Linked DNA regions of Notamacropus eugenii. The protein of the gene in region 1 interacts with the protein of each later gene in a pairwise test. Links are inferred from orthologs where the notes say so. Each region holds a gene or a part of one and is shown in the gene's direction. Other genes may lie near its edges. The genes, in order: EHMT2, KLF3 and RD3.

Region 1 (10,655 bases):
AGTTAATCCGTGTACGTGTACGTGTTCTACGGCCACCCTGTCCCATCCCTCTGGTGTGGCTGAGAAAGGAGGGAGAACCTACTCCCGTATTCCCCACTGGGTGTAAGTCCTAGGAATACGGCTCGCTTTGTCTTTGTTCAGTTCCTAGCACGCTGCCTGCCACACGGAGTCTTGATACACTTTTTTCACTTGGCCTCAAAGCCACGCCCCCTATTCCTCACGACTGGATCCCGGGAAGGTAGCTCTCTCCGGAAAGGGGGAGCATAGGGATCCGCGCGACCCAAGCCCCGTACTACCCGGGCGCGAGACCAGCACGCATGCGCAGCCCCATTCCTGAACGAAGTGCGGGCGTAAGAAAGCAAGCGGGGGGGGGGGGGGGGAGGGGGACGACGGGGGACGTATTTCCGCTCCGACAGACAAATAGTACTGGCCAAAGGGGGGTAAAGGCTACTCCTGGACCCTTTAACTTAGTGGAAACGGCGGGAAAAAGTGGGGAGGTATCGCACCCTTTAATTACACACACCCCACACTCTTCTCCCCCCCCCCATTTCCCTCCCCCCTTCCTCCTGGAGCCGCCGCCGCCGCAGTAGACGAAGCCGCGCACGCTGAGTCCAAGCCGCCTGGCACGAGCCTCCCCCACCCCGCCCACGCCGAGCCGGAGTCGCGCGCCAGACCGCGCGCAAGGGCGCGCACGTCCCTGCGCCTGCGCGTCACCCAGGCCTGCCAGTGCGTGGTGGGTGCCGCCGGCCCCCGGGGGGGCGGGGAAATTAAAGAAAAAAAAACTGCTCGTGGAACCGATCCAGGTGAGAGGCGAGCTTGCTGATGGGGTCTAGGGGTTCAGGGGGACAAGTTCTGCGGAGCAACTGGGCCCCGAGGGTTGGGGGGCAGGGGAGTAACGTGCTGGGGTGGGGATGGGGGGGCGTGCGCGGCACGTACGGGTGGGGGGTGCCGGGAACGGGCGCGTGTAAACGTGCCCAGGGAGGCGGGGAAAGGGCGAGCGTGCCCCTGACAAGGGAACCCTCAAATCCCTGCCCCTCCCCCCTACACACCTCTCAAGCACACCTCCCCCCTCTCTTGTCTGGGCCCCCAGTTCGTGGGTAGGATGCTTGGGGGAAGAAAGTATGCGACCTCCGCCCCTCGTGGGACTTCGAGTTCCCTCCCCTCCCCCTGGGATGGGACGGAGCCCAAACTGAGGGGTAGGGGGTGGTCTGGAGAAGAAAGTAGCTTGCCTCTGCCCCCGGGGAGCGGGAAAGAGGTGAGAGTAGGGGGCCGAGGCTTGGGGAAGGGGGAAAGACCGGCTTCCTAACTAATTTGCCCTCCACCAAACACAGGGAACTCCCCCAGCCCACCCAGTACCATGGCCTCTGGAGTGGAAGTCTTGCGATTCCAGCTCCCAGGACATGAGGCTGCTACCCTTCGAAACATGAACCAGCTTCGGGCAGAAGAGCGCTTCTGCGATGTCACCATTGTGGCCGACAGCCTCAAGTTCCGGGGCCACAAGGTTATCTTGGCAGCTTGCTCCCCATTTCTTCGTGACCAGTTTCTCCTCAATCCCAGTTCAGAGCTGCAGGTCTCGCTAATGCACAGTGCCAGAATCGTGGCAGACCTCCTCCTCTCCTGCTATACAGGTGCTCTGGAGTTTGCTGTCCGGGACATTGTCAACTACCTGACTGCTGCCTCTTATCTCCAAATGGAGCACGTGGTAGAAAAATGTAGAAATGCCCTGAGCCAATTCATTGAACCCAAGATTGGCCTAAAAGAGGATGGAGTCAGTGGAGGGATTGGATTGACTGGGCTCAGCTCCACCAAGTCACTCCTCCCACCCGCTCGAACCCCTAAACCAGCTCCCAAACCCCCACCACCACCTCCTCCACCTCCTCTTCTCCGACCAGTGAAGCTAGAATTTCCCCTCGATGAGGATCTTGAGCTAAAGGCAGAAGAAGAAGAAGAGGATGAAGATGAGGATGTATCAGATATCTGCATTGTCAAGGTGGAATCAGCATTGGAAGTGGCACAGAGGCTTAAGCCCCCTGGAGGCATTGGGGGGAGCCTTGGGCTTGGAGGGAGCCTTGGGCTTGGGGGGAACCTTAACCTTGGAGGGGGTCTTGGCCTTGGAGGGAGTAGCGGACTCCTCATCAATGAAGTTGGAGAAACTATTGATGCCCCTGATGATAGCACAGCACCCCAGGGAGTGGTGAAGGCCTGCTATAGCCTTACAGAAGATGCGGAAGGGGAGGGTCTGTTGCTGTTTCCTGGAGGTCAAGTAGGGGAGGGCATTACCCTTGGGCTGGGAGATGAAGCCCTAGCTGCAGCCACTATGTCCCGGAGCAGTGGAGTTAGTGGGAGTTATGGGGGCATGAGGAGTCCTATACCAGGGGGCTCCCCAGTGGGAAACCCACTGAAGAACATCAAGTGTACCAAGTGCCCAGAAGTATTTCAGGGTGTGGAAAAACTTGTGTTCCATATGAGAGCCCAGCACTTCATCTTTATGTGCCCTCGATGTGGGAAGCAGTTCAATCATAGCAGCAACCTCAACCGTCACATGAACGTTCACCGAGGTGTCAAGTCACACTCCTGTGGTATTTGTGGCAAATGCTTTACACAGAAGTCTACTCTACACGACCACCTCAACCTTCACTCTGGGGCTCGACCCTACCGTTGTTCTTACTGTGATGTGCGATTTGCCCATAAACCTGCCATTCGTCGACACCTCAAGGAGCAGCATGGCAAGACCACAGCAGAGAATGTCCTTGATGCCAGTGTGTCAGAGCTCAATGCCCTCCTCCACTAGCTGGAGGAAGGATAACTAGGGGAAGGGGTGAGGTGAGATTGCTGGTAGAGGGGGGTGATGAAAGATTCTCTCTCCAAAAGGGGAGGAAGTTTGAAGGGGAAGGGGGCTTTTCTGTTTCCAGGAGAGTTAACATACATCTTGGGGTTAAAGGCAGAGGTCTTAACAAAAGAACAGCTCAGGTCTTCCTCTGAGAATAAGAAGGGGTTAAAAGACCTTGCTGAGGAGATTAACTAACCATTCCTTGGGATGATGAGGAAAGAAATGGTTCCTGTTTTCTAGGATAAAAGGGCCCAGGAAGAGGGATGGCTCTTTTCTGGAATAAGTAGATAATTGAGGTGAGGATGGTGTGCAGGGTGTAAGTAGTAAAAAGGGGAAATAGAAGATGGTTTTATCATTGGGTAAGAAAGCTATAGAGAAGACAACTCAGTTGAGGTAGGGTGGGTGGGAATTGGGAGGGTATCTTACCAAAGCTATACCTGTCCTTGGGTGGTAATAGAACAGGGGAAACCTCTTAAATTCCTGGGAGAGCAACTATTATGAGGAAAAGGTTAACAAGTCCCAGGGAGAAAGGGTAGAGAATGTCTTTTTTTGCATGCGAGGGAGGAGGGAAGGGGACTGGGACGGGCTTTTGTCTCAGGAGACAAAAAGTGACAAATGGTTATAATATGAAAGAAAAAAGGAGAATGGAAGTAGACTAGAAAACAAATAGAGGCAAAATAAGAAAAGTCAGAAGTAGTAAGGGTTGGGGAGGGGATATGGGGAGAAAAGGAAAATACCTAGAAAAAGGCTCTTGGGGAGGGGAGGGAAAGGGTGTGGTAGAGACATAATGGTATTTTTTAAGGAAACAGACATATTTTTCAGGAGTTTTCTGGAATCTGAAGTCTCAGTTTCCGCTTTTCCACAAAATAAAAAAAAAATTCTTAACGTTTGTTGTCTGAGTCTGATACTTCCTTTTTCCATTCCCTAGTTTTCCATTCTGAGCATCCTGGTACCTTCAGCCAACAGCTCTTTCCTAAGAATACCCTGGCCTTCCATCTTCTGCTTCTGTTGAGTTTCCTGTGCCTGTCCAGTGTTTTTAGTCACCTCCTGGTCTCCTCACCATGTGGGCAAAAATCATGTAAACCCGTTTCAGCAGTACTTTTCAAAATTCTAAGTACTCTTCATTATGGTGAAGTCGGGCCATTGTCTTTCAGTCCCAGCTCTTGTCATTATCTAGCTATGAGAAGGGGCATCTGAGCCTATTGCTTCTACAAAGTGAGAGGATTAGACTACATCAGGGCGTTCTCAAATTGGGATGATGGTCTTGGATGGGGTAGAAATGTATTTGGGTTTTTTTCCCACTAAGCTCAAACAAACAGCATTTCCTTCAATTACGAATTTTAAAATTTTTTCTGGGAAGGGATCCATCAGCCTCACCAGTCTGCCAAAGGAGTGTCCATGACGCCCCCAAAAAGGTTAAGAACCCCCGAACTAGATGGACCCTGGGGCCCTTCTCCAATACTACTTCGAGTCTGCGAGTTGGCGGAAAACTTTAGAGGCGGCTCGCAGCTTGTGCAAACTACAGCTCCCAGGAGGCCTCAGAGGCGGCCCCGGGTGCCCAGTGCCAACCCACAGAGCCCGGGGCTGTGGAGTCCTCCGGGTTCGAGGGCTGTAGTACAGGCTGCTGAGGCGGGGCGTCCGTCTGTGCTGGGACCGCGGCGTCTGTTCTTCTGGTCGTGATGACATTAGCGAAGTTGTGATTGAATTAAGTTCTTGGAGAGATCCGTGGACGGCCGGGCGGGATTGGAGTGGTCTTTAACTAAGCCCTAATTACTCACAATAAGAGCCGGGAGTAAAAGCCCTAGGTAAAGGGGAAGAGCGTCTCGGAGTACCCCCATTCCCGCCTCCAGGAGCAAAGGCTTCTCTCCTGCTCCTGCCCGGACCGAGATCGGAGGCAGAGGCACGGTCCTTCCCCTTCCCGGGACACCCGGACCGGACGAACCGCGGCTCGGGAGTTATTGGGCAATAGACTCGCACCGCAGCGGCGGCCCCCGCCCCCAGTCCAGACACTCCGGCAGAGCGCCCGCGCTCGCCCCCCCATGGTGAAGGCTGGGGCGGCCAGATCGAAGTGGCCTCCGAAGCGCCCCCGCCAGCCCCATCCCGGGCATCCTCCGCAGCCCTCCGGGATCCTATCCCGGGAAAATGGCAATGGAATAGGCCACGGCTCCTTTAAGGGTTCTCTTCCTCCTCCCCCCTTTCACAACTCCCCCATCCCCCCCCGGCCCACGTGACCCGGGCGGCCGCGCGCCTCCTGGGCCCCCCGCGCGAGCGGCTATGGCGGCGGCGGCGGGAGCTGCAGCGGCGGCGGCCGCCGAGGTGCGGAAGGGGAGGGGGGGGAGGCGGGTGCATGCCCGCCCGCGCGCGCGCCCGGGGGAAGCGCGCACTCGTGCAATGCTCCGGGGGTGCAACGGGGCCGGGGGGCCCGAGCCGGGCTTGCAACAAGCCGGGGGGCCAGCGCCGGGGGCCGGGGAGGGGACCAGGGGATGGGAGGCGGGGGAAGCGGGCACGGAGGTGCGCGTGCAGCCGCTGGCCACCCCCGGATGGGCGGATGGAGCCGGGGTCCCAGGGGCACGCGCACGGGGTGCGCGGGGCAGGCCGCCAAGCTGGGGGGGAGTGGGTGCCGGGGGGGGTGTCGCGCGGGGCCCCCGCGGCTCCGGGGACAAAGGGGGAGCGTCTCGAGCACCCGGGAGGAGGGGGCGGGGCCGGGGCGCATTGGCCACGCCCCCTCCCCTCCTTTCTGCTCCCGGGATGCGGGGGCTACCAAGGGGGAGGGGGTCCCTTCGGACCCGGGGGAGAGGGCGAGGGCCACTTCCTGGGAGTCGCGGCAGAGGGCGAGGGGCAACCCATCGGGGCCGGGGACGGGGGCGAAGCCTGCTCTCTTCCGCCCGGACCCAGGCGTCCTGGGTTCCTCTGCCCCCAGCCGGGTTGACCAGTCCCCCTACCCCTTGTCTCCCCTCGCAGGGGGAGGCCCCTGGTGAGATGGGGGGGGCGCTGCTGCTGGAGAAAGAACCTCGGGGAACTGCAGAGAGAGGTAAGCATACAGTGTATACAGGATGTCTGCTCCCCAGCCCCCTCTTCTTCCCTGTTGTGAAAGCAGTCTGCTTCCCAATACCCTCTTCTTTTTCCTATCTGGAACAACCTGGCAGGATGGTAAGTTGCCCTTTCCCCTTAGATCTCTTCCTGAAAGGAATCATGTTCCCCAACTGTGTGTGTATATGTCTGTGTGTCTTGTGGGGATCTTGGTATTCATGACACCCCTCACTCCCCAACCTTTCTTTTTTCTTCTCAGGTCTTAGCTCCTCCTCAGGAGATAAGTCTCCTGGAGAGGAGACCCCACCCCAGGACCATCCCGAGTCTGTGGAACCCACTGGCCCCTCATCTCCTGCCTCAGTCACAGTGACTGTAGGAGATGAGGGTGCTGACACCCCAGTGGGGTCCACACCCCTCATTGGTGAAGAGCCAGAGAGTTCAGAGGGAGATGAGGGCATCCACAGTGGTAGGATGTTGTTAGGTAAGGATTTGGGAGAGCTTGAGGTTGGGGAATTCAGGGAGCAGGGAGAACTGGGCTCTCAGGTCATACCGTTTTCCCTCCTCTCTCTCCCAACCATGTTGTCCAGGCCATGCCACTAAGTCCTTTCCCTCGTCCCCCAGCAAAGGGGGCAGCACCTGCCCAAGCCGGGCGAAGATTACCATGACAGGGACCGGGAAATCACCTCCCTCAGTCCAGAGTTTAGCCATGCGGCTGTTGAGCATGCCTGGGGCACAAGGGGCTGGGGCTGGGCCTGAGCCTGCCCCTACCCCGACCCCTACCCCCACCCCCACCAGCCCTGAAGGGAAGCCCAAGGTCCACCGAGCTCGAAAAACCATGTCCAAACCAGGGAATGGACAGGTAAAGGGCATGTGCAGGGAAGGGAAGAGGTATATCTTGTAATAAGGAGCGGGAGTTGGGGGGAAGAGGGGAGTCTTATCTTCCTTTCTGTGTATTCCCTAGCCTCCAGTCCCTGAGAAACGCCCCCCTGAAGTTCAGCATTTTCGAATGAGTGATGATCTTCACTCAATGGGGGATATGGGAACAGGTATATCCTTCAACCATAGATAGATTCTAGCTTCTTTCTCGCCTATACCATTGGGACAACAGTTAACTTTGGTTTGGGGTATCAAAAATCTTGCTTAGGTTTGAAGAGAAAAACCTTACTTTATCTCTTCCAGACACTGCCAAAAGGAGGAAGCTGGACTTGGGAAGTGCAGGGTCCCACAAGAGAGGCTTGGTAAGGCTGCATCAGGGACTGGACCAAGGGGCAATAAGGGAGCTAAGAACAGAGTGCCAGCATCTTTGAGAGGAAAACAAGTACTAAAATGGAGTGGAAAGAGGAGAGAGGTGTGGAAATAGAATATTTTAGTTCCTTAGAGAAGAGATTTGCTAACAGGACAACTCAGCTGGAGTAAGGCTGGGGAGGGGAGAGGTACTGACTCTTGGGTGGTACAAGTCTCTAGTATTTAAAACACTAAGGTGCCTTTTTAAGTGCAAGGTACACAGGGTGATACAAAGAAGAAAGATAGTTTCTGCCATTTAGGAGATTTAACCATGTCTATCAATCAATCAACGTTTATTAAGCTCCTACTATATGTCAGGCCCTGTACTAAAAGCTGGGGATACAAAAAGAGGCAAAAGAAAGTCCTTGCCCTCAAGGATTTTATGGTCAGTGAGGGAGACAACATGTATACAAATATGAGTTATATACAGGAGAAATAGGAAATAATTAACTGGGGGAGGGCACTGGAATTAAGAGGGTTGGTTAAGACTTCTAGTAAAAGAGGGAATTTTAATTGGAACTTAAAGGAAACCAAAGGGGAGGTCTTTAGAGCGAATGATTGGCCTGGGGGACAGCCAGAGAAAATGCCCAGAGCCCACAGAAGGAGTGTCTTGTTTGTAGAACAACCAGGAGGCCAGTGTCACCGGATCAAAGAATATGTGTTTCAGATTAGGGTGTAAGAAGACTTACAAGAGCTTTGAATGCTAAACAGAACATTTTGTATTTGAACTTGGAGGCAGTAGGAAACCACTGGAGATTGTCAAGTTGGGGGGGGGGGGGTGACATTATCAGACCTGCGCTTTAGAAAAATCACATTAGTGGCTCAATAGAGGATGGATTGGAGGGGGGAGAAAGGCTTGAGGCAGGCTGACCCAGCAGTACGCTCTTGTAATTGTGTAGGCATGAGGTAATGAGGTCCTATATTATCATAGTAATAACTGTCAGAGAAGGGGCATATACAAGAGTTGTTGCAAAGGTGAAATTGACAAGGCTTGGCAACAGATTGGATACGGTAGAATGAGACATAGTAAGCAGTCCAGCTGACTCCTAGGTTGTGAGCCTGAGGGACTGGGAGGATGGTGTTGCCTTCTATAATAATAAGAAAGGGGAAAAGGGGGAAAGGTGGTTTGGGAGAAACGTAATGAGTTCCATTTTGAACATACTGATTTTAAGGTGTCTACTTGACATCCAGTTTGAAATGTCTGAAAGACAGTTGGAGATATGAGATTGGGCATCAGCAGAGAGATTGGGGCAGGAGAGGTAGATTTCAGAATGACATTGTTATAGAGATGGTAATTAAATTCATGGGAGTTAATTAGATCACCAGGTAAAGTAGTATATAGAAAGAAGAGGGGCCGGGGACAGAATCTTGAGGGAAACCCTAGAGTATGACATGGAAGTGGATCCAGATAGGTAGGATGAGAGCCAGGAAAACTTCAAGAGAAGAGAGTATCAAGGAGGAGAGAGTGATCAACATTGTCAAAGCCTGCAGGGAAGTCAAGGAGAATGAGGACAGCGAGCGAAAAGGCCATTGGATTTGGCAGCTAAGAGAAAGATGAAGTGAGGGTTTTTTCAGGATAGGAGAGAGATGGTATGTTTGTTATTAGTAGGGAAGGAGCCAGTAGTCAATGAGTGATTGAAGGGAAAGACTGAGGATGACAGAGGGGGACAGTCTGTTGTAAAGACACAGGATGGAATGGGATCACTTGAACAAGTAGAAGGGTTAACCTTGGTAAAGAGTAAAGGACCATTTCACCCAATGAGATAGGAGTGAAGGAGGAGAGAATGGTAGAAGAAATCTGAATGATGTCACTCCCCTACTTAGTAAACTCTTGTGGCTCCCTATTGCCTCTAGGATAAAATACATTCCTTTTAGTTTTTAACCGTTCATCATAACCTAACCCTAACCTGCCTTCACTAATGTGCAGTAAGGTTCCCTTTCCACACTCAGCTGACCTTTTCTCTTTTCCTCACATTTCACACTCCATCTCCTCACTTCGCTTTGTTCAGTTTCCTCCGCTTACAGAACTTCAAGATACAACTCAGTCACCACCTTCAGCTTTTCTGATTTTCCCAAATGCTAGTACCCTGTCTCTCAGATTGCCTTGTATTGTGTGTCTGCGTGTGTATGTGTGTACACATATCTCCTCCAGATAGAGTATAAATTCCTTTAGAGTACAGATTGTATCATTCTTTGTATTCTCAGTACCTAGCACAGTGCCTGGAACTTAGTAAGCACTTAGTAAATGCTTGTTGGTTGGTTGATTGATCCATCAACACACACACACGCACACACACACACACACACACACACACACATCATAAGATAGAAGTTGATAAAGCTAGAGGAGATATCTTGACAAAGTATCATTCTAGAAACATGGAGGGAGAGAACACTTTTAGCTAATGGAATCAGGAAATCTTCATGGAAGGGGAACTCTTTATTTCCCAGTTGGAAGAGCTGGGGCCTGCTGGGGGGTCTGAGGACATGGCCCTGGAGAAGGCAAACCAGGAGGCCATGGAGGACTGGGATACAGATGTAGGAGAAGGCTTCAGTTTGTACTATGACTCATACTCTGTGGATGAGCGAATTGACTCAGACAGTAAGGTAAGGAGCAGCTGGGTCTGGGCTGAGGTGACCTCCCTACCACCAGCTTCCTGCCAACTTCTCTGATGCCTCTTGAGCCTTAGAGCTTTTAGAGAGTCTGTGTGTTTTGTGCTTAATCTTTTCTCTGTGACCCTGTCTCTTTGGTTCTTCCAACCATCATTTCATACTTTAACTACCAGGAATGCTTCCCTGATTTACCACACAAAACTACCTGTACACACACGCAGGCTTACACACATTTCCCTGAGGTCATAACGGTCCTATCTCTGTCTCCCCAACAGAGGGGACTGCCTCCCCTGTCAGACTCCCCCATCAGAGCACCCAAAGGACAGGATCTTTGATCTGAGGGTCACCCTCCCATAGCCCTATCCTCTTCTCCCTTTCTAGTCGGAGGCAGAGGTCTTGGCCGATCCATTGAGTGAAGAGGAAGAGGAGGAGGAAGAGGAGGAAGAAGAAGAAGAGGAGGAGGAGGAAGAGGAAGAAGAGGAGGAGGAAGAGGAGGAAGAAGAAGAGGAAGAAGATGAGGAGTCTGGCAATCAGTCCGATAAGGTAAGGGTCTGGTATCTGGGTCTGTAAAGGAAGTCTGGGCTGAGGAACAGGGGAGATAAACCTGCATACCCAGGTTCCTGTTCTTCCCCCTCATCAGAGTGGTTCTAGTGGTCGACGAAAAGCCAAGAAGAAATGGCGAAAGGACAGTCCTTGGGTGAAGCCCACCAGAAAACGTCGAAAGCGGGAAACACCGCGCAGCAAGGAGCAGCGGGGTAATCCAGATTAAGTTCCTGTCTTCCTAGGGCACCAAATCCTTGTTCTCCTCACATACACATAAGTCTCAGCCTCCGTTTCCCCCAACTTTTCCTCTCTTGCTCTCTCTCTGTATTAGGGGTGAATGGTGTTGGTCCCTCTG
Region 2 (10,809 bases), on another chromosome or scaffold:
AAGATGTTTGGATAGATTGTTGAACAAAAGTTGATTACATCATGATTGTTAGATCCCTAAATAAAGCAAATCCAAAATCATCATGAGAAAGAAAACATACTGAAAAGGACTGAAATGGGGTGGGGAATGGGCTTGGTTGGGGAAGGGGAAGCAGGGTGTCCATGGGAAATGAAGATGGGAAGTCATAGGTACTCTTAAAACTGGCCCTGCTATTTAGAGATTCTGAGAAGCAAAAAAGAATGACAACAAATTAAGTACATCCTCAATTCAGAAATTTAGCTCTGAAGGACCTTAACACCCATGAAGACTGTCCGCAAGCTAAAAGGCAATTTCTCAGTTCACAGGCGTAGGTACTCTTCTGTCTTACATTTAATCATCAGATCCTGGTGAAAGGCCAAAGACGGAGAAATGGACCTTGTGCTCAAGCAAGTATATTTCTGCTTCTTGAAAAGAAGGAACTTAGAGCTTTTTCTATCGTGGTTTGCATTTTCCCTTTTTTTTTTTTAAAGAAGGCTTTAAAGTAAACACATTTTTATTTACAGAAAGTAGAGAAACCAGATTCAAAGGCAGTATGCTCTTTCCCCCTCCCTCTCCCTAGGTACATGGTCGGGGGGGCTTCGGAAGGTTTAGGGCAGGTAAAAAGCCACTTTGCAAATTTCTGTACTGTGTGGCACACATAAGAGATACTCAAACAGTATTTATTATCTTTCCTAGGAAGTGAAGTCAGCAGTCCAAAGGAGTCCACTCCCTCTCTCATTAAGCAGGGTGGGGTAGGGTGGAGGTCAGAGGGGAAAAGGAGGGAAAGAAAAGGCGTGGCTACTGCCACTTTTGTGCATATGTTCCTTTGTCTCTATACCTCAAGCCTCTTAGCCAGTGTATTCTTGGGTACTCTAGGACAAAAGTCCAGATGTTTGGAGGACCTACTGGATAGCTGAATGTAAGGAAGGTAGGCTACCCCTCGCAAACATGATCATGAATGCCTGTCTGTGTCTGTAAGGATAATAGGTTGCAAACTAAGATTATATTTAATTTAGCACTTTATTATATGCTATTTTATTCAATTGTTCCCTAATTGTTTCATGTGTTCAAGCCTTGTCTTTTCAGCAAGATGGTAAGGTCCTTGAGGGCAAGGGTTGTACCAAAAGCTCCTCTTTTATCCTTTCCCCCTCCCCCATGGCCATCAGACACTTTATAAACTTTCAATTCAATTAAATCCAACCATTTGTTAATTAAATTCCTAATATGTGCAACACAATGTGTCCTTAAGCCCTGGGATACCAAGGCAGAAATCGAAGCTTTCTTAAAGAGTTTACTTGGAAGACAGAGCAGTCACACACAGAAGTAAATACAAAATAATTTGGCCTCAACCTACTGTCATTATTCTGCTTTTATTTAGTTAGACAACTTACCTTTCTCTAAATATGCTTCATTATTTCCTCTTCTACTACTATAGCTTAGCTAGCTCACAGTACTCCACCCCTACTCCCTTTTCCACTTCTCTCTGCTTGTCCAAGTTCTATCCATCCTTCGAAGCTTACCTCCAGTCTTCTCTATGAAGTTCATCCAAGTCCACGTGAGCTTTCCTCTTCTAGAACTCTTTTAACTTTGATTAGCCCTATCACTCATATACTGCCTTGTGCAAAGGTCATAGGATCTAGCTTTAAATCTCCAAGAGCCCTTGGCTGTTTTCTTGTTGGCCCATCTAGATTGGAAGCACCTTGATGGTAGGTACTATGACTTCTATTTCTTTTATTTCCATACTACCTTGGATGGGGTAGGTGCTAAATAAATATTCATTGATGAATCATTCATTCATATCCAGCTGTCAGTCTCCAAGTTCCCCCTCTTTCCCTACTTGAATCTCACCTCCACCTTTTCTGCATCACACACTCACACTCAACACACTTAGCCCCAAATCAGGAACAAAGAAGGTACTTAATAACTGCCTGTTTATTGCTTCTGGCCTGTTCATCCATACGAACAATAGAAAAGAGATTTTTATAGATAAAAGTTTCCAACTCTAAACCTACCCTGAACTAATCTAGTAAGTAAATACACACCACAAATAAACTCCATCAGTCTAACAAAGTCACCGGTATTCAATGGACTTGAGCTAATTTTCAATAGTATTTAATACCCACATTTACACAGCACTTTGCCTTTTATAAAGTGGTTTGCTTTTAATCCTGTGAGTTAGGCAAAATATTAGAGTAAATATTACCAAGTTCGTTGTATAGATGAGGAAATTGGGGATTAAGAAAGGTAAGACTTGCCCTAAACTACTTAATGACTAGACCCCAAATTTTCTGAGTCAAGTTTACAGGTTTGTAAATCAATTGCAAGCATTTCTGTAGGAACTTGGTTTTTACTTTGGATTTGTCTTGTACCCAACCCAAATACTCCTAATTTAAGTTTTAAATGTCATAGGCATATTTCAAAGATATGAGTTATAGAGGCAGACTTCAGAAGTATATGTACAAATCTCTACCATGCTACAACACTGTGACTCAGTTGTTTTTGTGTCTCCAGGTAAAATTTTTATATGTACAAGATACTTATAAAATTTCACTACGTTTAGATAACCCTCTACTCTTAGAATAGGACCTCTAGGACTAGGTTTATAATATATTTCTGCTTATTATGTAGTATGGGGCCTAGAGGAAGGAGCAAAATAAGGGTGAACTTAGAGGCCTTTTAAAACATCTTGAATCAATAAAAAGCCCTAGATGGAAGCAGGGGTGTTTTCAAATATTACACAGCACTAAAACAATTGAACCAATTTGTCCTTTGTTCTTTTTATTGCATTCTTTATTACGCTAATACTGCTTTAAAAGAAAATCCAAAGGCATTAAATACACAAGCAAGCCACTGTCCAGGCCCTGACTCCAAATAAAGCAGAGCAGGATCCGCAGCCATCCCTGGCATACACATGGTGTAGCAAGCCGAATAAAGTACACGCAGAGCCTGGTCCCTTCCCACTGGAACGGCATGGGTGGAAAAGCAGCCCCTCAGCCCCACCCCACCAAACTCACACGCGTCCGACTTTGAGATGGGGACGCACCTGAACCACTTTGGGAAAGTTTTCAGGCAAGTGTGTAGCAAGAAGAAACAAGGTAACTGATCAGCCGGCCCAGGACTTTTACCTCGGGCTCCAGAGCCCCGCTCCGAGATGCTTGGCCTGAGGCTTTGCAAGCTCGGGAGGTCGGTGGGGGAGGGGAGACGAGGAGGCTGCAGGACGGGGACTCCGCGGCCGCGCCCATCCCCCACCCTTCCTCATTCTCCGGGACGGAGCGGAGTTTTCCCAGAGCCCCGGAGCACAAAGGAGCCCGCTGGCAAACAGGATGTTGTATGAACCTGAAACTCCGGGCTTTCCTTAGATTGGGTTCGTCCCCCCCTCCCCCCGCCACCGTCCCTTCCACGTGCATTTTCCTCCATCCACGCGCCCACCCCCCGGGCTTTTGATAGTTTTTTAATTTCATTTGACGTCCGGAGGATCCCGAGGCGCGGCCCCATCGGCCCTCCGGGCGGGCAGCGCAGGATCCATCCCTGCGGGTCCCACCACCTCGGGGGCGGGGGGAGCCGGCAGAGGCCGCGGCCGCCCCGCCACGCCTCGGAGCGGGCAGCACCGCCCTTCCTTCCCCTCGGGCCCTGGGCGGTGCGGCAGCGGCAGGTTGGGGAGGCGGGGTGGGGCGCGGAGGGGAGAGGGAGGGGATCCTCGGAGCGCCGGGCCGGACGCACGCCTAATGCCCCGCGGCCCCCGGCGGCGGCGCAGGGAAGGGCGAGCTCGGCATGCGGGGCGGAACCCCGGCTCCGGATAATAACGAGTGTCTGTAAGTCTGTCCCTGGGTGACTGCGAAGGGGGAGGAGGAGAGGGCGGGGCGGCGGGAGGGGGAGGGGAGGGCGGGGCGGCGGGGAGGGGCGGAGGGAGTCCGTGCGTGTTTGTGTGAGTGACTCGTCCGACCCCTCTCGGCCGCCGCGCCGCTGCCTCCACCCTAGTGGGTGGGGACCCCGCCCCGCCCTGCCCGGGCTGCGGCGGCGGCTCCCTCTCTCTCCCCCTCCCTGACCCTCCCACCCGAGGTCCCAGCCTCTACTTACCCGGCCAGCCCTGGGAGGCTCGCAGAGCGAGCGGCGCCGGCGTCATGTGACGGCCCCGGACTTGGTGCCAGGAGCCTGGAGACTGAGCGCGGCGGGGAGAGCGAGCGAGCGAGCAGCGGGAGCCGAGCACGTAGCGCGCCGAGCCGGGAGCCGGAGCCGGGAGCTGCAGCCGCAGCCGGGCAGCAGGGCAGCAGGGCAGCCGGGCAGCCGGAGCCGGGAGGCGGCCACCTCCATCCGCCCGGACACGGGGCCCGCCGCCCCCCGCGCCCTCCCTCCCGACCCCGCTCTCTCCCCCCTCCTCCCCCTCCCCATCCTTGGCGGCCGCGCGTGGTCGCGGGACTTTTCCGCTGACACTGTTGCATTTGGGGGATTAAAGGAAACCCTGATCCCGGGCTTTTATTTCCTGCCTGCTGCGCTCAGCACCGCGGCGCTCCAAGTAAGTTTTCCTGACGTTGTATATATATGCGAGATATGACGGTGGAGACAATACACCTCCGGACCGACCCTCGGAGCTGCGCTCGCCGCTCTCGCGCATCCCCCCTCCGTGGACGTGTCGGGATAGAGGGAGTCGGTGTTGGGGGGGTAGAAAGTGCAACTGATAATGGCCCCGGAGGGGGAGGCCGGGGCCCCGGGTGTCGTGGTCGAACGTGTGGGATGGATGAGAGCCCGTGCGGATCCGGGGTTTGCCCCGCCGCGGGGTGCGCGAAGAAGCGGAGGTGCCGGACTTGCGGCGAGGGACCGGGCTTATGGGGGGCGGATGGAAGGAGACGGAGGAGGGAGGCCGGCTGCTACACCTGCGTGGTCTGTAACTGTCTCCCCCTCGTAGAAATCTGTGAGTTGCAACCTTGTTTCAAGGAAGGTGGACTGGACGCACGCGAACGCGGGCCCCCTCCCCCACCCCCGCTCCCTCCCCTCCCCCTCCCCCGCCGGCTCGGTCCGCGTCGGAAGTTTTCCTCGGGGCTTCGCTGCGGCTCCGGCGGAGCCCGGGAGGAGCTGGGGGGGAGGGGGGGACTCTGCCGCACTGTCACTGGACACGGAACCGGGAGGCCTGGGGGTGGTGCGGGGGGGCAGGGGCTGATCCGGCCCCTCCTCGGGAAGGGGGGAGACGCTGGGATGTTGTCGGCATTGCCCCCCGGGCTGCGTGCCCCGCCGCCGCCTCGCCTGCTGCCTGGACGCTCAGCCCGGTGCCCTGGGGGAGCCCGCTAGTCCTAGAAAGTGCCCCCTCCGATTTCGGGGACTGCATTCCTGCGTGTGCGCGGCCGTCGGGCTGATAGCAGGGCATTTAGGAGAGAAACGCCCCCCCTCCTTGTAGGACAGGGAAAATGGGGTTTGTCTTTGCCATCCCACTTCAGGTTTGTGTTCCTAAATCCTAGGACCCCTTCGCTTCGGTCGGGAAATGAGCAGGAGACTCGGCTGGCGAAGACCGGGCTCCCTCCCAGGGGTCTGGCTGCGGATGGGGGCCTCGGGAGCGGCAGCCGCGGCTCCGGCCGTCGGGTCCTGCGGGCACCTCGGGGTGGCTGCGGGGTGTTCTCGGCACGCCCTGGACCGCCCCCTTTCCTTTAATTTCGGTGAGGAGTGTAAAGAGGTCCTCGCCGCGTGCGTCCTGCGTTATCCGAGGATGGGGTGGCTGCTCCCAACAGGTTTTTCCACAGAGTAGCTGGGAGTGAGGAACATCTGGACTTGATAACCTGCCTGCCTTACCCCTAAGGAGGATTTGGGGGTGGGGGAGGCTTCAGTCTGAAACCACTGAAACATCGAGAACTGTGGGGAGCTCGGCTCAGTCGTTTGGGGGGCAACAGGGGATTTTGAAAAGAGGTTTCTTGAGTTGAAACAATACTGACTTTAGCTGTTGTAAAAATCTTCGTTTTTTTTATTCTCTTGAATTTTGTGGATACCCAGTTTATTCATCCTCAAAGCTAGGAGGCTTTTATTCGGCAAAATATTTGTACATCAAATGTGTTCTGTAGTGTGGTCCATGAAGATGTATTTGTACAACGTAAGTCATTTCGTATGTTTGACTTTTTGTTTGATTAAAGGAAAACAAGTATAAAAAAAGGGAGATGAGCTCCAGATATTGGGGCAAGTAGCAAAATAGCTATAGCTATCTGTGTAGAGATGTGTCTACTTTATTTGTAATTTGGAAAGTTTCTAAATCCAGATCAATGCTTGTGGTTACTATGGTCACAGTGATGCCATTTTTTTTTTTTTACTTTTTCGTTATCTCTCCATACATGGCTTCCTAAATATCTAACTAAAGGAAGCAGAGTCTGACATTTCTAAGAGGCAGCAAAGGAATAATTTAAGTAAAGAAAGGTAATAAGGGTGGAGGGGTCACATAGTTAAAAGTTTTTTAAAATTGTTTTTCCATTAACAAATTTAGTATCATCTAATAAATTACATAACGTCTTTACTAATGAAATCTCAAGTAGATGTGTGAGTTTATGTGACAATACAGTGAAATTTAGGAGTATTCTGAGTTTCCTACCTTTTTTGCTTTGGCAGTTCAGAACCATGAATGAATGAATGAATGAACCTGATTTGATGAGTATTTTAGTAACTGTGATCCCATTGTGTTCAGAGTAATGCTGGGAATGGATATATAATCTGTGTTCTTCACTGATTTGTTCAGTCTTCCACGTCTTCTACCCCCCAAAAAAACAAACAGACCAACCTGTTTTGAGCCATAATTTTAAACATAATGGGCTACCCAATTCAAAAAATGGGTACCACTTGCTACTTGCTCCTTGAGATAGGAGAAAGGGACAAAAGAAATCGGGAGGGAAGGCTGGTGTTATGATGGGCTCTCCTGTCTGAATGTTCACTTCTGATGTTTACTGTATGTGGTTGCTTATATTTGTAAATAGGGTAGGTCCCGCGTATAGGCCGGTGTTGTTATTCACACCCTTCGAACAAACACCTCCACCCCCTGTTGTTTTAAAAACTCCAGCTGCTCATGAATATAGGGTCAGGGAGGGCCGGCTAAATGTTTCTCTGTGCTTTCTCTCCAGCACAGCTAGCAGAGCTGTTTCCTGTTCTTTGTTTCAAGGCTGGGGTTTGCGTCATACATTCCTAGTGGCATATGTGTGCTCTTTCCTGTTTCAGGCTGTTTTCTGGTAGATCAGTAGCCCAGACCAGGCCCCTTGTCCCTGCCCCTTAACTCCCAATCCCCACCCAGGGAGTTATCATGTCTCCACACACTCATGATTGCTTAAGATGCCTGTATTATGTCATAATGAGAAGTCAGTTAACCTTTTTACACACACACCCCTTTACTTCACTGTGTTTATGTGTGTGGATTAATTTTCCATTTTTATTTCAATCCCAAATTATGATTTTTGATGCATATGCACTATTGGGAGGTATCTGAGGGTTTTTTTGTTTTGTTTTCTCTTAGGGGTGGTTTTTGTTTTTATTCTGCCCTGAAGGATACCACTTCTGGATTAGGATTAACCATAGATAAATTTTGTGCAGATGATGGAGGGAAGACTCATCTGGAAAAGATGGTCTACTTTTTTCAGTTTTGACACAAGACACTTCAGACATAGGTGGTTACTCTTTAATTGGAGGATTCAAGTGCTCTTGGCCATCTTGAATTCTCTGCTTGCATTTTGAAGAACACATTTTTTTTTTATTATTGCATTGTGTGAATGACCAAGGTGCATTTTTTAAGGGGACATCAAGTTTTTTATTATTCTCGGTCTGACTTGAGAAAAGGATTAAAAATGAAAAAATGAGAAGGAAAGGAGACCTGGAAATAGGGAAACTTATGATGCTTTGGAACTCTTGGGTCCTTTAAAGAACTTCATCAGGGGAATTTTGCTGTTTGGATCATTGACCACTTTTATGTATCATTCCATGGATTGCTATAAGTTTTTTTTTTTTTTCTGTATACTATTTGCTGTTCAGCATTTTAGTTTAACTTTTTAAAAAAGTGAACATTTATAAGTTACTTTTCTCTTAGCTCTACAGAAACTAATTTTTAAGGAAAAGTTTTAGAAGAAAAATAATTTAATTTTTGTTAAGTTTTTATGACTTGATCTTCAGTGGGTTTTAAGTTTTCTTTCAGTAGGAGAGAATCATAGAATGAGATTAGATCCTTCTGTGTAATAGTATTCATCCGTAAAGTTTTATAGAAAATAATTTTATATAATTTGTGTTCAGTATCAGAAAAATCTCATGTGACAAATCTAGGAGTCTGCTTTTGAACAGCACAGTTTCCGCCTCATCTTCACTTTATGACTTAAATGGTAAGAAAGCTGTGGAACCTAGTATGTTAAGTAAAAGGTAAGCTTTCCTTTAGCAGAAGATGTGATTTTGGAAAGGGGCTAAAATTGTGCTTTCTTTTGGGGAGAGGGAAAGCAAACTTTTTAGAGATTAAGCCTTGCTTTGGGCAGTGTGAGCCCTTAAAAATCCGAAACTTTTGTGTTTTCATTCTGAAGCTGCTTGCTTCCAGTCCAAAATATGGTATTTGGCAGACATGCTTTCAGACAGAAGTTTTAACTCTTCCTGAATTTTCTTTCATCATTGTTTCCCTTTGGGGTATCTAATAATGATCCTTGGCTTCAGAGGCAACATGACAGATAACCAGAAGGATAAAACTTTAGCAAACTTCTAAATGATAAACTCAAAAATAATGGGGGGAAATTTTAGTGATGTCTGATACAGTCATTCTAATTACTAGCAAACATTGGTATGCTAGGGAAAGACAGCCTCATCTCTTGAGAAAATTCACATTTATTTAATCATTTTTCCATTCATCTTTGTTCTTCCTCATTGAAATCCCCTTGGATACTTATCTCCACCTTCTTTACCTCTCTAAATCCCCATCTTTCTATAAAATTAACAAGCTGGATTGTTTGTTCTTCAGCTTTCCTAGATGCTAACTTCATACCCTGTTGTCAGATCTATTCATGGGTGACCCAGTTTTGTTTGAGCAAGCGAAAAAGAAAAGAAAATTCTTCCTTAAAAACTAGGAAATGGCATTATTTTGGCATTTTTCTTTAAAGAGGGATTGAAATTGGCCCAGACTTTCAGCCCCTTTATTTCCCAGGATTTCTTCCTTAAAACTTAAGGCCTGGTTTATTTATCTACGTGATTCCATACCAAATTAATTTTAAAGTCATGTGCATGAGAGGATTATTAGACTCTTCAGCATACTTGTTTTTAGAAGTCTGATCTGTTCACTTCACTAGACTTTGTTTCTCCTCTCCAGTGCAGAGACAGGAAACCAGACAGCAGTCTGCCCTGATAAGGCAGGGTATTGTCTAAGGGAGGTAGCCACTGCTTTTTTCCTCTTCCATTCTCCTCCTTCCTTGGAGTCTAGTGGTTATTAAAATAAAGGAGACACAGTGCTGTGCAAATCTAGGATTCTGAATCAAAAGTCTGGATGACCTCTATATACCTCTCTATATAAGAATGTATTGATTTTTAACCAGTCTTATATAAACTCTGGAAAATGTGACATTTCTGTGCAGTTTTGAAGTTATTATATACTTACAGCTTAGGTGACATTTTTTAGTCTCAGAATAAACTGGTATTTAAAAAACACAAAACAAGATGGGGAAGCTTTTTCCCTCCTTATTTGCTTATCTCAAGCAAAGTACTGCCCCATTTTTCCATTTTTTTCCTTCTCCATCTTTTATAATCATCTCTCCCACCTCCAAAGAAAAAGAAAGAGTGAGAGACAGACAGTAGTAAAATGTAGTAAATTAATTGAGCATTAAACCATTTACATGCTTGAGGCTGGCCCATTCCAGCCAAATCCCTGGGTCCAGGCCAGAATTAGAGAGAGGGGAATGTGAATCAGCCTCGTCTTCTGGAAGATCTAGAGGGACCTAGGTCGGTTCTGAGACCCCCTTGAAATTGCTGACAATCTTTGGCAGGCCTGAGATGTCCTTGGGGATGACCAGGGGCCAGTCTAGACCTAAAACTGAGGAATTTAGCCAGAACCAGACTGACCTCAGAACATCAGTGAGTCAAACAGTCATTTAGCTCAGGACATTCAACTCAAAAAAGGGCTGCCTGTAAATAAAGGGTTTTTTTTTCCTCTTCCTGCTCCTATTCTTTATTCTTTTTCCCAACTACTGTTCTTTGAGCTTAATCACCTAACTCAGTCCCCTTATCTGTTTCAGTATTTTGCATCCTGGCACTCCCCTAAGCTTCTTTCCAATACCACTTTGTGAAAACATTCTTAAAAGTGAAGGCCATCGGTTATCTAATCTAGAGGATCAGTTTTTCTCTCACTTTGTTCCTGTTAATTGTTTAGGATAATTTTAGCAATTAGTAATAATTATTAAATAAAGTTCTAATTTTAATCATTTTAGGGTATATTGCAAAAGCTTTCTTCCCCAAGTAAAAAGGAATATAGGCTTAATGATACCCTTTATGACCAGATTGGGGGTGGAGGGAGTCTTATTTTGAGGTTCCTTTCGTTCAGTAGCGATCTCTTATACACCTATTATGTGTAAGCTTGAGATGTGTGAAGTTCTTCATGTATCAAACCTGAAAAAAGCATTTACAGTCTGATTTCTTGCCCTGACACTTCGCTATGATACTGATAAAGAACAGAGCTCAGAAGAAGGCTAGTCTTTCTTGGCCCCCATCCAGTAAGGTGTCATTGCTGAACTGCCAAAAAGAGCCTCTTTATAGGATGATTTCACTTAAAAGACAGGGCCACAGCATGGGCTGCAAGGTCCTCATTCCATAGAAGGATCT
Region 3 (10,400 bases), about 340 Mb from region 1:
TGTTTCTATATAAGTAGACAGCATCTTCCTTCAAAAGTCCAATTCTTTCCATATTTTTCTAGGACAAACTCTTTTGAGCAATTATCTTTCTCATTTAGAAGGCTCTGTGACATTCCAGGGCTTGATGCAATTAGCACAATGTCATCTGGAAACAGAAACATCTGGAGTGTAAGTGTATTAGCGAGTTGCAAAATGATATACTTGCAGAAGGAAGTCAGAAATAAGTCCTTCAAAATATTGTGCTGATGGAGGGGAGGGGTGGTTTGTGAGATTTATGGAACATTCCATTTAGATAGCATATTTTAAATGACTTGCAATCATTAAAATGAAAGATAAACATAAGATATTATGATTGTGTAAGATGAAAGGTAAGATGAAAGGGATAGAATAGGTCTTCAAGAAGGTTCTAAAAGAGAATGGAGGTGGGAGAGAATATTAGTTTGAAAAAAGTAGGGAGAATGATTGAAGTCCAGGCATTTTACATTAGATAATAAGTGTGAAAAGCATGGACGATTTTGCCATATAGTGCAAATTCATAGATGATAGTGTACTTATAAAATGTTCAGGTGACAGAAAAGGGAGGGATAGATACTACACCACATGGTCCTGCTCCTCATTGAAATTATATCAAGGTCTATGACTTAGCTTAGCCCCCTCTTATCCCTGAACAGGCAGGAAGAGATAATGGGGAAATTTTGGAGTAGATGGAGCTCAGTATCTGGAGCTCAATGAACCAGACTATTGGCTTGTAACATCGGTATTCTAAAAACACTGAGCACTTTGACTTTGGAGGACCTCATTACTACAAATCACCACATCTTCCCTTGCTGTGTAGACACATTTCTAGATGGAGGTGAGGGGCTTGCATCAACCTGAACTAAATGTTGTACCTTTGTTGAGTATCCTTTCTATGCCATGACTAAGTAAACCTCCTTCTGTCAATAGTTAGATAAACTGATGGATGGATGGATGGATGGATGGATAGACAGACAGGCAGGCAGACAAACAGACAGACAGACAGACAGACAGACAGACAGACAGACAGACAGACAGATAGATAGATAGATAGATAGATAGATAGATAGATAGATAGATAGATAGATAGATAGATGATAGGGTACTCAGGAGTTTTATGGAATAGCTTATGGCCCTCAAGTCAGAAGTTGGACAACTCTGAGCTAGAAAATGCACAGGACTGAATTCAGATTGGGAAACTCAAGAATAAATCATGTAGTTCAGTCATTTCAGTTATGCCTGACTCTTTATGACCTCATTTGGGATTTTCTTGGCAGAGCTTGGAAAAAACAGTATAAAATCTTACCGAAGAAAATAACTCCTTGATAATCAGAATTAGCTAAATGGAAGCTACTGACTCCATGAAACCTCAAGAGATAATAAAACAAAGTTAAAAGTCTGAAAAATGGTAAAAAAAAAAATGAACTGTTTCATAGGAAAAACAACTGACCCTGAAAACAGATCAAGGAGAGATAATTTAAGAATCATTGGATTATCTGAGAAATGTGAACAAAAGAGTCTAGGCATGATATTTCACAAAATCCAAAAAGAAAACTGCTCAGTTACAGGTATATATAGATATAGATATATATACCCATGTATAGGTGTATTTGTGTGTATTTATATATACCTACATATACATACACATACACACACACACACACACACACACACACACATATATATATATATATATATATATATATACATAAACCCACATCTGTACATATCTATATATTGATGTATGTGCTTACATACACCCTTGTCAATTCCTATTTGAGGGTTGTTTTCTCCTTTAGTCTCTGTGACTTCATTCTCTGTCAAATATACATACCTATTAGATAGAACATGGATAAAATAAATATATTATAGATCTAGATCATAGATAAGTATCTATCTATGTAGATAGATATCTCTGAAATATAACTACATATCATATATATCTGATATACATCTATAAACATCTTGTTCATGCATATTATTAATTTACATCACTCAGTGCACCTCATAGAATTAATTAACCATGGCACTGGACAAATTATTTAACCTCCACGAGCCTCAGTTTCCTCAACTATCAAGTGAGGGAGGTAGATTAAATGGCCTCTGTGGCCCCTTCCAGCTCTGTCTTTCAAGCCTATGAGTTTAAAACCTCTCCTTTGTTAGTTCTCTTATTGTTTGACATTCAGTGGACTCTGTGTATACATATGGTGAACTAGAAAGAAAAGCTTTTGCTTCTCTTCAGCTAAAAACTGCATGTGATCTTAGATCGCACTAAGAGAAGCATCGTGTCCAGAACAAGGCACTGATGACCCCACTTGCTGTAAGAATCATGGAACTACAGCTGGGAAAGTCCTCAAAGGACATCTCGTCCAACTCCCTCATTTTATAGGTGAGGAAAGTGCTCTGCCCTGGTCAGATCAGATCTGGAGCATCATGTTCAACTTTGGCCAAACCATTTTTAGGAAAAGCACAGATAAGTAGGAAATTAGCTAAAAAGGTGAAAGGCCTCAAGTCCATGCCCTAGGAGGATAGTCTGATAGAAGGAGGGATGTTTAGCTTGGAGAAACAGGGCTTAGGAGGGACACAGCAGTCATCTTCAAGTATTTAAAAGTTTATCATGTGAAAAAGAGACTAGATTTGTCGGTCTTGGTTCCAGAAAGGCAGATTAAGAGCGATAGGTAGAAAGTGTAAAGAAGCGGATGTAGTCTTGAGGTAAAGAAAATTAGATGTCACCCTCATAACTCTAGGGACTTTGTCACAACTCCCAACTATATTGATCAGTTAGATCCTCCCGAGTAAAGCTACATTTCCCTGTAAGGGTCTAGGGATATATTTCCCTCCAAGGGTCTAAGGATACCTCTGACCGTTGATGAGATTCTCTCATGCTTTCAACTCAAGCCCCTATTCCAGTGTGTTCTTCCTAATATCAAATGCTAATTATCTCTTCAATATAATCTAACCCAGGTCCATTTAAAAATCTCCTCAATCTACTGATGCAATTGATTAATATTCCAGTATCATTTAACCAAACACAATTAATTAGCTTTTTCAAAGGGATATATCCAAAGAAGATGCAGAAAGCAGTATAAAATATCTCTTCATGCCCTCCCTCAACCCTCAGGTGCATACTTTTCCCACACTCCCTTTGTCTCTGTGGAGGGAGGCTCAGTTGCTGTAAAGCATTCACCCCCACCAAATTCACTTCTGAATGAGTTATAGCCAAAGAAAAATTTGTCTCATTTTTACTGCCTTTGTTGCACTGCTGTCAATCAATTACTGAGCATGTATTAAGTGTCAACCATGTGCCAGGCACTGTGTTAAGTGCTGGGGATATGAAAAGAGGTAAAAGTCCCTGTCCCCAAGGAGCTTACAGTCTAGTCATAAAAAATCTAATTGACCCACTGCTATATTGGATCAAGCAGGTGACTCACGTTTTTACTCCCCATTGGACAATCTCCTCCACGTTCAAAGCTCACAAGATCAAAGCCTAGTCCATTCCATCTCTGATCCTCCCTCACTTAAGGGAGGAAGAAATAAACAAAACAGCACAGAAGCAGGGGTGTGCTAACAAATAATTAACAACTGATTCTCTGAAAAAAATGTATACATGACATACTTGGAAGTTTAATCTACACTAGCAACATTTTAATCACTTCCTTAAGTCTAAACAATCACCAAAACAATAAATCAAGCCTTGATTTATAGTGTTTGCCAATTTCTGAAGGATAGATGACCACAATGAAAATTCAACAAGCGGTTTTCTCTAGCAGGCATGAGCTAGACCACATATATCCCTGGTTGGTAGCAACAACAGGGCCATATGTGTAGCCATGTCTTCATGTTGACCAGGTGGAACAGGAGGACAGAAAGTAGGCCACTGGAGTAATTATTGCCTCTTCACTCAAAAAAATATTCTGAAATGGAATGGGCTATTTCAGGAGGTAGTGGTTGCCACCTCACTGGGGGTGGCAGAAACTGGATGGTCATTTGTCAAGGATATTTTAGGAGGGACCTCGTTGAGGTAAAAAGAATAATGGCTTCTATTTCTGAGATTCTGTGACTCCTGAGAGTGAACAGTTCATTTTTTACTGAGGAAATAAAATATTGGGATTCTGAGGAAGAAATATGAGAAAGTGACCAAGGTGAGGGGGGTCTATGCAAATATGGACACCCAAGTAGGGTCTAAAGATTATAAATTCGGAGCTGGAAGGGACCTCAGAAGTCTTCCTATTTTACAGATTCAAACAAACAATCCAAGACCCAGAGAGATGAAGTGATTTGCCTAAATTCACATAAGAAGTAAGACAGAACCAGAAGTGAACCCAGGTCTTTTGTCTCCAAGTGCAATGGCTTAGCATCCTTAGGCAAAGTAGATGTTGCTTTGTATCAAAACAGCTTTTCTTAAAATCTTCTCTTCCTCCCAGATGATTTGGGGAGAAGCGGCCCATAAAGATGTTTCTATCCTTTCTGCAATGCTGACATCTGGCTAAAGGCTGCTCTCTCCCTTTATCTCCCTCCCTCTGCTGCCCCTCCTTCTCTCTCATAATTCTTTAAATCTTACCACCCTCCCCCTTCTCCATCTCTCCCTTCTTCTCACTATCTAACTTCACATCACCAATTTATTCATCAAACACCATCTGTGCAGTGGTGTTTGGGCCCCATTTGTGTCTCTGCAGTGGATTCATTGTAGAATATTTAACCACAGATCAGCGATTTTCATTGATGCCTACTGGGGAGTGAAGAACCCAACTTCCTCTCCCAGTACAAATTCTCACTTAGTTAGGGTAATCACAAAGCCCCCTGCAGGCAAATTAATCAAAAATAAATTTGCCATCACTGCAGACATTAAATCCTCACTGAACAACTGTTCAGAGAAGACTGGACCAAAAACAGGGAATATCTAAGAGTGACTCTTTCCCCTCTCCGCTGAAGGGTCCTCAAAAATTGGGGACTGGGAAAAAGGAGAGGGTTGAGATTTTCATTGTTCTCCGGAGCCTTGCCCTTAGACTTATGCCATCAATCAGTTCCATTTTAGGAGTATGGGGGTCAGCTGAGTTTATCAATCAATACAGGAATTTAACTGTTTCTGTGCCTGTTTCCATTATATTCCCAGGAAAAATCATAGAGTCACATTCTACCTTGGAGTGAAAACTTTCCTTCTGGTAGCTTAAAACAATATGATTCATCAATTTATTCTCACAGTATCTATAGAGGGAAAGAGGGATAGTGCTTGTTGACTGGTTGATCTTTTGTTGATCTTTTCTCGGAAGGAACAAGAGGAGACATGTGACCTTTTTGTTGTTGTTTCAGTCAAGTCCAAGTCTTTGTGACTCCTTTTGGGGTTTTCTTGGCAAAGATACCAGAGTGATTAGCCCTTTCCTTCTCCAACTCATTTTACAGATGCGGAAACTAAGGCAAACAGGGTTAAGTGACTTGCCCAGGGTAACACAGCTAGTAAGTCTATGAGGTAAGATTTGAACTCAGGAAGGTGAGTCTTAATGACTCCAGGTCTGGCACTCTATCCACTGCCCCACCTAGCTGCCTCCCTCTAGTTACCATCAAATAAGGAGGAACATTCGGGGCTTGACAATGATGGATTTAGTTAGGACCCTAAAGGTGATTGAGGCCAGAAGGAACTAAAGAATGCAGTCTAGAAACAGGCTTAAGAATCCCCAAATGCAGACCTTTGCTTATTACCTACAAATTATTCTTTGTGGCTAGGTGGCTTTAGTGGGTAGAGTACCTGGCCTGGAGTTGGGAAGACTCATATTTTTGAGTTTAGACACTCACTAGTTGTGTGACCTTGAGCAAGTCATTTAACCCTGTTTGCCTCAGTTTCCACATTGTAAAATAAGCTGGAGAGAAGGAAATAGCAAACCACTCAGGTATCTTTGCAAAAAAAAACCAAAAAACCCCAAACGAGGTCACAAAGAGATGGGCATAATTGAAACGATTGAACAGCAACACTCTTTGAGGGGACAACAGTTGTCCCACCAGTAGGGAAGGGGTTGTTCCAAGACTGATCCTCCTTTCCCTGCCTTACTTGTTTTTTCTGTTCTGTCTCAGACCTTCTCAGACCCCTGCCTCAGTTAGCCTCTTCCTCCCCATCCCCCTGGATTATGCTTCTCAAAGCTAAGTAGGCTTAGGTGAGTCTCCATGGTAACTGAGCATCACAAGCTGGGATGTGGCCAACCGTTCATCAGGGAGAAACTGTGAGTCAAACCTCCCAGGACTCTTCTAGAGAACAGGAACCAGACAATCAGACAGACAGACTAAGAAACAGCCACAGCCGTGCTCCCTGGGACCTTCTACCTATTCTATTTTGTTTTTCCTCTTCAAGAGGAGGGAGAAGGACAGAAAGGTAGAGGAAGCAGCAGCCGGCAGGAGCAGAGAGGAAAGGAAGAAGCTTAGTTAAAAGATTAATTCACTCCTGCCCTGCCTCTCCTCCCCTTCCCCCCATACGCTCATTCATCCTTGCCTACCATTTCATGGCTTCACAATACCTTCTTGCCTTTCTTTGAAAGGATCTGACAATCCCCTCTTCACAACTGGAGGCAGAAAGTGGTACACTCTCTCTGCCCAGAAGGTGCCAGTTATTTCAATCAACTTTGGAAATTCAGGTAAGAAGTCTGCCCACTTAGACATCTGTGCCTAAAGAAACACTTTGGGCAATCAGAGTAGAATAACTGTGGAGGGGGGACAAAAGTTAATGCCTCATTTGATCCAACTGTGGGGCAGGCTTCAGGTACCAGGCACTAATTTCTTAGTCACCTTCCTCTCTTCTAGACACTGGTTCCTCCTGGGTGATATGTTTGATGAGAGCTGGGAGAGAGCAATTTAGTTGGGTAGACCTGTCAATAATTCTCTAAATACAGGCTGGGAATATGACCCAGGTAAACTTTAGCAAAAATGTTCATTTTGATTAATTTCAGAGATTTGCTGGACCCAGCTCCAATAAACTCTCTAGAGCAGACTGTTAAATTTTCAGAATGAGCATTTACACCTTAGAAATTGGCAAATGCTGCAAGTCAAGGGCTTAATTTCTTGTTTTGTTGAAATTATTAATAACACAGCTTAAACTTAAAAGTGTGTCTGGCAGACATTTTTCCATAAAGAGTCAGTTGTTAAACATTTGCCACAACATTACTGATTTAATTCAAGTACTTGACTAGGAACCCTGAATCATGTGTCATTGAAATTGTATCGAATCAGATTTTTGTCATTCAGGGCCAGCAAAGCCAGATTGGTGGTTATCCAATATCCCCAGTTGTCCTCTTTCTTGGCTCTCCCAGAGATGGGCTAGACAAAGAGAAAGGAGAAGAGGTAACTAAGAGTCACAGTGAATACAGTGCTAGACTTGGAGTCAGAGAGACCTAAGTTTAAATCCTGCCTCAGACATTTACTAGCCATGGCACTCTGGGAAAGTCACTCTCTCAGTCTCAGTTTCCTTATTTGTAAACTTGATGGCCTACTGAGATCTCTTCCAGCTTTAAATCTATGACCTTATGAAAAGAGACTCACATTGGTTCTTGTGAGCTGCTTGGGTCAAAGTTTGTGGATGAAGGGTGAGGCAAAGAGACATAAATTGGGATATTTTATGGATTTCAGCTCTGCATGTTCTTGTCCAGTTCCCTGGGACTATTATAAAGCCACAATATGGTTACTTTATATTTGCATTGAAGATCAGGGTGCTTTGAGAGGTATTAAGTCCAGGGGTGTTCTGGGATCCAACTGTAGTCAGTAGTTGGAAAGTTTGAGTGGTAACTCTAGGTCATAGAGAGAGCTTGTTTGTATTTCACAAGGGTCCCAATGTGGCATCCCCTCTAATCCAAACCAGTAAACATTTTTTCAAATGCCTACTATGTGCAAGGCACTTTTCTTCTAGTTGATAATACAAAGACCAAAAAGATAAAAGGCCCCCTTTATGAAGAAGTTTATCCTCTCCAAGATTATATTTCTGTGGCAGCCACTCCATCTACCTGGTAACACTATTGCTGCGGGTAGACAAAGACTGTCTGCAATGAATTATACATGTCTCCTGGCTTAGTGATCAATCTTTCTGAGGCTCTTTTCTTTTTTATGATAAGGCAAAAGACATCTCCTACTCCAAAACCCTTTCAACGAGTGGTCACTTTTCTTCACCCAAAGGTGTCTATGAGCTTTGGTGACAACAGGAGCATGAGGAGGACAGATCATGCCCTTTTTAGTGACTATTGGAAAGGTGTCTTCTCAGCCCACCTCCCTACATTAAAAAATAAATCAGCAGAGACTCGTTCATGAAGTTTAGGTCAAAGAATCAGTCCATACTTTGTACTCAATGCAGAACCCTGTCCTAGGCAAAAAGGGTTTATACAGAAGTAGAAAGAGCCATTGGGAATTCCATTGTGGAGTTCCCATCTAATGGAAGAGATAAAGAATAATAACGGTGATAATAATGCACATTTGGAGAGCCTTTTAAGGTCACCAAGCCCTTTCTTCATGAGAACCAAGTATTCTTATCTTCATTTTACAGAAAAGAAAACTGAGGCACTGAGAAAGGAAGTGAGTTTCCTATGTTCACAGAATTGGTGTCAGAGTTGAGATTTGAACCTGAATCTAAATCCAGGACTCTTCTCTAGATCATACCTGGCTTCCAATGCCTTGACAAATGTCAAAGTCTAGCTTTCTTGCTTACACATCAGTGTTGATAAAGGGGAAGAAGAAAGGATTGATCTTAATGTGATCTAGCCACATTTGCAAAAAGAAAAGGTTATTTACAGCTCTGGTCTGTACTTCTGGCCCAGGCTGCTACCTAATAAAGGTGAATTCTTGGTCCCAAGGAGGGCGGGCCATGGCCATGGGTAACTCTGTATGATCTGTAACCAAGACCAGCTGAAAAAGTCGAAGGGCGTGCCTTGTTGAAAGTGTCAGGAGCACCCTTCTTTATGCACTAAGGATTAAACTTTGCTATTATTGCCCTCGCTGTGATTTCCCTCATTCCCTGCCCTGACTTTTAATAATCCTGTAACCGAAGAGAAATGAAAACACTAAAATTCCTTCTTGCCCTTGAGGCACGTCTCTGATTTTTCTAACCTATTTAATGAGCCACAGCTGGTAGCATTGTCTCTTGGGTTTCATGAAGTGAAGGAGCCATCCTTCTCCTCAGAGATATTTAAAAACAAGCAGAACAGAAGGTACAGTGTGTGAGGGAAGGTACAGGCAATGGAAAATGAAGTACGGAAGGGAACAAACAGAATGGAAGGGAAGACAGAAGGGAGCAGGGGATAGAAAGAGAGAAGGGAAGGGAGGAGGAAGATGAGATGTAGAGGAAAGATGTCTGGATCTGGAGCAAGAGGACCTTGACTTGAATCCTGACTATGCCACTTGGGAAGTGTATGACTTTGGGCAAGTTGCTTATTCTTCCTGTGCCTCAATTGTTCTGTTTGTAAAATGAGGGAGTTGAACAAGACTGGAAGACCTCAGAAGATTGTCTTAGCCCTAAATCCTTGATGTCATGAATGGAACTGGAGGCATGGCCTATGAAAGAAGGAGCATCCTTTCATGGATAATAGAAAAAAAACAATCTCAGTAGGTTTTTTTTCCCTCCACCATTCCCACATAATCTATCCATTTGCTAGGAAAACCGCCAAGGAACCAAATGAAGTTCCTCCTCAACCACAGATTCCCAGGGCCTCCATGACTTTTGAAAGTGTTGTAAGAAGCATGAGGGTCAGCCAAGGAGAGAGGTTAGACTCATTGACCCGGCAGGGAATTATAAATCCTGCTTCAAACACTTATTCTTTGTGGGGCTCTGGACAAATCATTTAGCCTCTCTCTGACTCAGTTGTAAATTTCCTCAGTTGTAAAATGGGAATAATAATAGCTTCTACCTCACAGGATTGTTGTGAGGATCAAATAAGATATTTGTAAAATCCTTAGCATAGTTCCTGGCACATAATAGGTACTTTACAAATGTTCTCCTCCCTCCAAAAAAAAAGTTACAGTCAAGGACAGGCAATGTGACACAGGCACAGAAGAGTGGTATGGCTCACCTTTGGTGCTAATATTTTTCACTTTATAAAGGGAAAAAACTTCTTTTAATATAACTTCTTTGTATTTATACTGTATCTTGGGGACATCCCCATTTCCATTGAAGACAGCACCATTCTTTCAGTCACCCAGATTTGCAGCCTCAGAATCATCTTCAGCTCCTAAATTACCCTCTTCTCACCCCCATATCCAACCAGTTGCCAAGTCTTTCATTTCTTCTTCCACTTCATTGCTCAACATTCCTTTCTCTCCACAAACACAATCATCACCCTAGTTCAGACTGTCATCTCTTCTTACCTGCTCCAGTGCAATAGCCACCTGTTTGTCTTTCTATAAACAATCTTTTCCTCCTCCAA

What was found.
Region 2: the proteins of EHMT2 (region 1) and KLF3 interact in binary tests that used the Homo sapiens proteins (3 or more experiments, as listed by UniProt). The two-hybrid records come from large-scale screens. The link is inferred for Notamacropus eugenii from reciprocal best matches to the Homo sapiens genes EHMT2 and KLF3.
Region 3: the proteins of EHMT2 (region 1) and RD3 interact in binary tests that used the Homo sapiens proteins (3 or more experiments, as listed by UniProt). The two-hybrid records come from large-scale screens. The link is inferred for Notamacropus eugenii from reciprocal best matches to the Homo sapiens genes EHMT2 and RD3.

What each region holds. Positions count from the first base shown.
Region 1 is NC_092873.1:85,596,050-85,606,704, reverse strand, and holds the start of EHMT2 (histone-lysine N-methyltransferase EHMT2), read left to right. Parts: upstream 1-5,562; 5' UTR 5,563-5,578; coding exon 5,579-5,861; intron 5,862-6,119; coding exon 6,120-6,341; intron 6,342-6,447; coding exon 6,448-6,719; intron 6,720-6,821; coding exon 6,822-6,906; intron 6,907-7,039; coding exon 7,040-7,098; intron 7,099-9,595; coding exon 9,596-9,751; intron 9,752-10,138; coding exon 10,139-10,300; intron 10,301-10,373; coding exon 10,374-10,512; intron 10,513-10,631; coding exon 10,632-10,655. Other genes in the region: ZBTB12 (zinc finger and BTB domain-containing protein 12), read left to right, coding at 1,358-2,791. UniProt on the Homo sapiens protein: Histone methyltransferase that specifically mono- and dimethylates 'Lys-9' of histone H3 (H3K9me1 and H3K9me2, respectively) in euchromatin.
Region 2 is NC_092877.1:92,693,072-92,703,880, forward strand, and holds the start of KLF3 (Krueppel-like factor 3), read left to right. Parts: upstream 1-6,137; 5' UTR 6,138-10,809. UniProt on the Homo sapiens protein: Binds to the CACCC box of erythroid cell-expressed genes. May play a role in hematopoiesis.
Region 3 is NC_092873.1:426,892,766-426,903,165, forward strand, and holds the start of RD3 (protein RD3), read left to right. Parts: upstream 1-6,182; 5' UTR 6,183-6,635; intron 6,636-10,400.